Linked DNA regions of Danio rerio. The protein of the gene in region 1 purifies or fractionates together with the protein of each later gene. This does not show direct contact. Links are inferred from orthologs where the notes say so. Each region holds a gene or a part of one and is shown in the gene's direction. Other genes may lie near its edges. The genes, in order: pes and noc3l.

Evidence for each region.
Region 2: the proteins of pes (region 1) and noc3l purify together in Homo sapiens (affinity purification with mass spectrometry; 3 studies listed by BioGRID and IntAct, counting the BioPlex papers as one, with this or other methods). This does not show direct contact. The link is inferred for Danio rerio from reciprocal best matches to the Homo sapiens genes PES1 and NOC3L.

What each region holds. Positions count from the first base shown.
Region 1 is NC_133180.1:13,532,370-13,536,200, forward strand, and holds part of pes (pescadillo), read left to right. Parts: intron 1-1,943; coding exon 1,944-2,069; intron 2,070-2,484; coding exon 2,485-2,669; intron 2,670-3,831. UniProt on the Homo sapiens protein: Component of the PeBoW complex, which is required for maturation of 28S and 5.8S ribosomal RNAs and formation of the 60S ribosome.
Region 2 is NC_133187.1:5,951,042-5,954,872, reverse strand, and holds part of noc3l (nucleolar complex protein 3 homolog), read left to right. Parts: coding exon 1-107; intron 108-1,733; coding exon 1,734-1,827; intron 1,828-1,898; coding exon 1,899-2,074; intron 2,075-3,831. UniProt on the Homo sapiens protein: May be required for adipogenesis.

The sequences.
Region 1 (3,831 bases):
CGTTACACTGTCAAATATTACACTGTCAGAGTCCTGCTCAGACACATATTTTACCAATTTGTGGTGGATGTTAGAAAGCTGCTAAAAATCCTGCTCAAGACGGTCGTTTTTTACGGTTCCTGCTCATCCTGGTCATCAGAAGTCTTCTCGTTGCACATCTACACTGCGTTCACCGGAGATGATGTTTACACACACTATGAAGTGAAGTCACACCTTCCTGGCTTAGCACTTCTCAGTTTCATTCATTCATTTGTTCATTCACAAAATATGTCCGCGTCTACTTCCCAGAGGACAACAGCCAATTACATTAGTTTTCCAGGGTTGCGTAAACGTGATTGGGTAGCATATGCTCAAGGGTATTTGCATGGAGTAATCTGACTGGCATCTGTTTGACCATTTAAAGTTCACTCAAAGTTCACGTGAATCTTTGACGCTGACATAAGAAAGATACCATTTTAAGAATTAATTTAAATAATCCGAGGGCAGTTTCATCCAGTTAGCCACCTGTGGGTAAAGCTGACATGTCGTTCAGGTCCAAAACCGCATGATCAGCAGAGCGTGACTAGTCGACATCAATCAAAAAGCATCACGGCAGAGAATTAAAGTCGATTAGTTGACTAGTTGGTGCAACCCCTTGTGTGTGTGTGTGTGTGTGTGTGTATTCTGTTACATGGTTGCTTTTAAATTAAATAAATGAATAAAATCGAATTTAATAAAACTAAACTTTATATTAACAATAGGGATACAACGATTACAGATTTTAGTTGTATGATTGCAGTCTGAGGAATAATCACGATTATTATGCATTCATTCATTTTAAACTCTTTTAGTTTAGAAAATCACATGAAAACTCCTTTTGTTTTAAAGTGTTATGTATTGCTATTCAATAACCAATGAATACAGCACAACATAATAATAAACCAAACAAACAAACAATAGTCCATTTTACTTTGGACTTAAAAAGAAGTTTTTGGCGTTTAAACAGAAGTAATAATTTTACACTGAAAATCAATGACAGAACAATAATAAATTAATGAATATAAATAAGAATACATTTTAAAAAGTTGTATTTTTCTAATGTCTAATAAATATAAACCACTTATTAGCTAAGGGTTTCCCTTTTAAAGAGATCCAATGTAGGCAAAGGCTGCTGAACCACTGTCTGAAAGGCACTTTTGATCAACTATATTTTAATATTATATACATTTTTCTCTTTGGAGTAGGAATGTATAGTATAGTCCATACAGAGTATGAAGCTGACCGTTTAGTTCTTGTCATGTGACTCGCAGTGCTTTCATTCAACTAGGTGCACCTGGAAAGCATGAGCACGTTGCACTGCCTGTACCTCCATAGTAAATAACAAACTTGCGTGCACAAAAGACAAGATATGTGAACAGCCTTATGGTTTTAGCTTCTGCCATAGGTAAAGTCAGCCTTTAATCCAGTGTGTACATGTGTATTGTGTACAAGCTCAGAACTTTAAACTAGCACACAGTAAGCATAACTTTTAGGTGCAGCAGTTTCCCTGCTGAAACACGGTGTTGAGAAGGCTTTACGATTAATTAACTGTGACGAATCAAAGCGCAGTTAATAGCGAAATTGGTTAATCGTTGCATCTGTAATCAACAAAAAAGTCAGTGTTAGTTTAATATCAATAATATACGATTATATTTTTGGTCAGTTTTATTTTTTTATATATATTTTTATTGGGTTAATGTTTTAGCATTTTTGTTGAATGTTTCTGTCATTTTTTTATGTCAGTATACTGTTTATTTAGTTTTAGCTGTTTTACAAGACAAAGTTTTGGCAATTATTCGAAACAGATTTTAATATACATTTCATTTTAGTTGATTTTAATCCAAAAAAATGTAAAGAAATGTTAAAAAAAACACTATGAACCTGCACTTTTGTCAGCTTATATAAACTTGTCATATGTTGTACAGGTGTTTTGGTGGAGAGGTGTCTTGGGATAAATCCCTGTGCATCGGCAGCACGTATGAAGCCACAGACGAAACAATCACGCATCACATCGTGGACAGACCCAGCATGGACAAACAGTATATCAACAGGTCTGAAACCAACTCTCTGATCATATACAGTAGCTGTGTTTACTGTAGTTTCTGTGTTTACTGTAGTCAGTTTATGCTTTAGTTTTATTTGTATAGTTTATAATAGTTGTTTTATAATAGTTTTATTTGTATTTATAATTATAATTTCAAAGCTTTGCAAAAGGTGCATACTATTGCATTACAATCAAATTTGGAAAGATTAAGGTTATTAGTTACCATAACGTTATTAGTTACTAATAACATTAATTAACTAGTAACCAACAGTTTTTAACAGTTAAAGTTAGTATATATAAACAGTTAACCTGTAGTTCTAAAGTTAATAGATTATGTCTTTGTGTATGTGTTCAATGAAGTGTTTTATGTTTGTGTATTAAGTGTATATTCTTGTGCTTTATGAATTTTTTCAATGGTGCAGATACTACATTCAGCCCCAGTGGGTGTATGACTCTGTCAATGCTAAGATACAGTTACCTGTGGAGGAGTATTTTCTGGGAGTCACACTGCCGCCTCATCTGTCACCGTTTGTGGAGGAGACTGAAGGAGATTATGTGCCGCCAGAGAAACTCAAGCTCATGGCCCTGCAGAGAGGAGAGAAACCACGTGAGGGTTTTACTTACTGCTGTGTAGAGATGCACTGATTTTCTTTGCTAATTACTATTTTTTTAAATTTTTATTATTAATATTTTTTGGCAGGGCTGTGACCTGTCTATATGTACGTATGGTCATTTTACAGCTCCGTTGGGTTAAGTTTTACCATTTTTGAATCCATCAAGTCTATCTCCGGGTCTGGCGGGAGTACTTTTAGCTTAGCATAAATCATTGAATTGGATTAGACAATTAGCATCTGACTATTAAAAGTAAAATTAATTCCTTTTCAGATTTTTTGTGATGATTGTAGTTGCAAGCTGCTAATATAGTATCACTTTCACACACTAGCTATGTTTCCATCCAAAAATGTGAATTAGATTTATGTGCAGCACTGAAATATTAAATAAAACATTTGTGAATAAAGCAGCACTTCCATTCTAAGGCAAAAAGAACAAAATGACTTCCTGATAACCTGGCACTAAAGTAATGTTATAATACTGAACCACCTTGACGACAGACTTTGGCTGAGGGATTTTACAATGACCAAAGCAAAAAATAAATAAATCTGTTAAAACAATCACATAACTTTTTTTTTTTTGATGCACATGCTGGATTTTATTCTGTAAATGTTGTTCCATCAAAGTTTTGTATTATATGATGAAAGGTTAAACCCAGGGGTGCCCAAACCTTTTACTATAAAAGGTCAAAAAGCAGTCTTTATTGAGGGCTGTGAACCGAATATATACCAAACCATATACATTACATTTGCCATGGGTAATTTCCTAATTTATTTGGTAATATTAAAAAATAGAAAACATTGCTTTAAATCATATTGACTAATGCAGTATAATTTTTAACATTTTATAATAAACTTAATACAGTAAAATCCCATCCATAAGTCCTATGCTGAATACACTAGTCAAGATTACTTTGATTTGCTCACAGATTTCTTGTGCATCTGTCAAGTTACAGTATTTATTAGTATTTACAATATTTACATTTTAAAAGTCGGAAGCATATACAGTATTTAATTGAATCATTCATTTTTTAGTTTAGTTTTAGTAGCTCAGTAAAAAAACAAAGAAGCAAAAGGTTTTGTTGAATTGGAAATGACGATCACTGTCAAAGGCATTCGCCCCAACCCCTCCCCATCATTCTCCCTCTTTTTTTAGAC
Region 2 (3,831 bases), on another chromosome or scaffold:
CCGTCACCGTCAGAAAGTTAGTCATGGTCTCCCTCATGGAGGTCTTTAAGGACATTGTGCCGGCATATCGAATCCGACCTCTGACGGAAGAAGAGAAGGCCGCAAAGGTGCAGTGACTTGATTATTCTTTTCATTTTGAGTAAAAGATGTTTCCAGTGTGCTTTAAAAAAGACAACAAAAAATGCTTGCTTGAAAGAAATGAAACAATAAATTGCATTGATGTAAAAAGTTTACAGATACAGTGGTCTCGTTAATCTCGTTATTCAGTTTTTTAATTAATTAAAGCAATATTATTGACTAATATGAAAATGTTCATCTGATTTATGCACAATTCAGTTTTTACAGTAATATTTTCTGTCTTTTAGTAAAGATATTATATGAGAGACTTGCTTTGTTTACCAAATAAAGTGCATCTAATTGGATTTGCAATTTAAACATTAAATAAAAGTTTAAAAGGTATTACTTTTTACTTAACATATTAAGGTTTAGTTATGATACTCCCAAAATAATTCCGCAGATTTTTACCAACATTCTCCGCAGAAATAGCAAAATCTTCTGCAGATTCCGTCAGGCCCTGGTAATAAGTAAATAAGTAGAAGTCAGCTTTATTTTTTGCAATTATTGTATATGTTTTAAAGCTGTAAAACCCCTCACTACACTATTTTCTCAGACAGCCATTAACATTTTCACACTTTTCTCTCTTGTTTAATCACTTTCACAGTTCCTTCGTAGGAAAATAAGTCCAGTATTATAGAATGAAACCAAAGATCAAAACCTGCTGTCAGGAGCAAACATTTGTTTGAGAAGATTTAATTATTTTAATTATTGATAGATTTAATTTATTCCGAATGGCGCGTTAGAGCCCCGTAACGAGAGCTGCCTTCCTTTAGCACAGGCATGTCCAAACTCGGTCCTGGAGGGCCGGTGTCCTGCAAAGTTTAGTTCCAACCCCAATCAGACACACCTGGGCTAGCTAACCAAGCTCTTACTAGGCTTTCTAGAAACATCCTTGCAGGTGTGTTGAGGCAAGTTGGAGCTAAAATCTGCAGGACACCGGACCGATTTTGGACACCCCTGCTTTAGCATATCCAGAGGTCGATGTTCAGTATTGTGCTATGGTTAGCATCTTCCACTGCTTTTGGGTGCTACCTGCAGAACGTTTGGCTGATATTATGGGGCCAATTTAGTTCTGCGGCCAATTTAGTTCACCCAATTCAACTATAGCACATGTGTTTGGACTGTGCGGGAAAACAGAGCACTCGGAGGAAACCCACAGAAACACGTGGAGAACATGCAAACTCCACACAGAAATGCCAACTTAACCAGCCAGGATTTGAACCAGCGACTTTCTTGCTGTGAGGCCACAGTGCTAACCACTAAGCCATCGTGTCGCCTCTGTTACAGTTTTCAACATTATTATTTCCAACATTGTTACAGACTCAAAAATGCAGATCCTGCCATGTGACTATTGCAAATGTGCACATTGTGATATCGTTGCTGAAACCATATCTCGTGCAGCCCCAAAACAAATCTAAACTAATTTAAAAGTCTATTGAAACTGCGTTTATGAATTATGTGACTTATATTCTGTAAAAATGTTCATTGAGAATTCAAAATATGTTCATTAGGACTTAATTGGGGCCGCTCTTTAGACAGGTGGACTCCAGGAAAAAAAAAAAAGACTATAATGTGTGTGAAATAAATTGCTTCATGCATCTGCCTTTCTGCTTCAGGTGAAGAAAGAGACGCTGCAGCTCAGAGAGTTTGAGGAGGGTCTGGTCAGCCAGTATAAGTTTTACCTGGAGGAGCTGGAACAGACAGTCAAAGGTAGATCTCTGTTCTCTGCTCTACCTGTTCATCCATTGTTTGTTTGTCTGACTGATCTGCTGTCGTTTCAGACTGGAAGCAGAAGAAGGAGAAGAGAAGTCAGGCCGTGTCTCTGCAGTCCTACAAGGGTCTTGCTGAAGTGGCCGTGCGCTGCATCTGTGAGCTGCTGGTTGCTCTGCCACACTTCAACTTCCACAACAACATTATAGTCATGCTGGTGCCTTTGATGAATGACTCCGACAAGAAGGTCAGTCTGCTAACTGTCAGCCATACACAGATCAAGACTACAATATTAGCCCTCCTGCCATGATGATAAAAAATTATTTAGCAAGATACTCCACATGTCATTTTCTGGAATAGTATATTTAATTGTATATTTAAAAGGTCTATTCCAGATATTGAAGGTCCAGGAATTTTATATTTGTTTAGATTGTAATGACTGGTTTTTCATTAATAAAAATGTATCTCTGATTTTTTCCCCCCATGTTTCCTATCAAGCTGTTCACATATTTGCTTGTTGTTATCGCTAGACTATTTTTTTTTTACTAAAATTTTAATTTATTGATTTTTTTTCCCACTTGGAAATTGAAATGCGGTCATGAAAAATACTGACTGTTAAATACTGTATGGTGTTGTTGTTTTTTTTGTCTTTTTTTTTTGTCTGTTCTTCTTAGATTTTGCGTAAAATATACACAATTACATATCTCAGTTAATTAAAAAAAAATTTGACCTCAAGAATCATAGGTTTCTCTTGTAACAACATGAGGTATCACACACCAGTTAAGCACTTTCTATAAGCAAAAACAATGCAGATGGTGTTGCAGCCATTTTAGCTGTCCTGGCTGACCAAAAATTGCAGGAAATCTGTGTCAGTAAAAAAAGTGCAAGCTCCTATAAACTTTGCACCAATATTTTTGTTTAATTTAGCATTGACAGAATCGGATTATTCTGGAGGAACTGCTGAACAGTCCAGCTGCCTGTCGCTCTTTATTATAGATCATGGAAATTCAGCTGATTAGTCAGTGGAAAGTGAGGGAATTTGATATGTGGCTTAGAGTGGGAACTCTGTAAAGCGCAATTTAAAGTCTTGGTTAGATTAACTAGTCAAGTAGGGTTGATAATTCAAGTAATTGGACAACTGGTCTGTTCTGTAGCCAGTTTAAAATCTTAAGTTGGCTAATATTATAAAAACTAATATAAAAATAATAAAAAACAATATTTAAAAAATTATTGTAAAAAATGTAAAGACTGCTTTAAAAGCTAAAACAGTTCCTCCAGGATTTTGCAGGACTTTATTTTGATTTATGTGGCCAAAAATGACAGATTTTAAAATGAATAAAATTTTTTTTTTTTTTTAAGACATTGGGTTCTGTAACATAAAATAGCACTTAATTTCAACATATGTAACCAAATAACAATTAAACTCATTAACATATTAATAATAAAACAACTGAAAAAAAGCTAAAAAAAGAAAAAAAAAAAGAAAAAGATAAGCAGAAGAAAATTAGATAAAAAATAATAAAGTAAATTTAAAGTGCCCACAAGTTTCTTTTACACGAATCTGCTCATGCGCTGCGTGCACACACACACATACACGCTGCATTCTGCTCTGCTAGCACATGCGCTGTGAAAGAGGCCTGACACCATGCCGGTGTTACGTGGTGAGAGCCTGCAAAAAAAAAGTCTTTATTCAAGTAATTTCACTCACCTCAAATTTTTTTCTGCGTCTTTCAGAGTACTATTTGTTGGTAAATGTGCACGTCCGTGTGCGTGTCAGTGTGCGTGCGTGCCTGTGTGTGTGTAAAATGCTGTCTTCTTCTGGTGAAATTTGTTCTGGTATTCTGGGTAAATACATTCAGTAATGATGTCATAGAAAGCATCTAGACCCAGTTTTGCAGAAAATCTGTGGCATTTCATAAAAAAATGTGAGATCTGCAAAATTTTGTGTAGTTTGCTTGTTTTTGTGATAAATTCAGCAATCTCAAAATCCTGGAAGGACTGTAA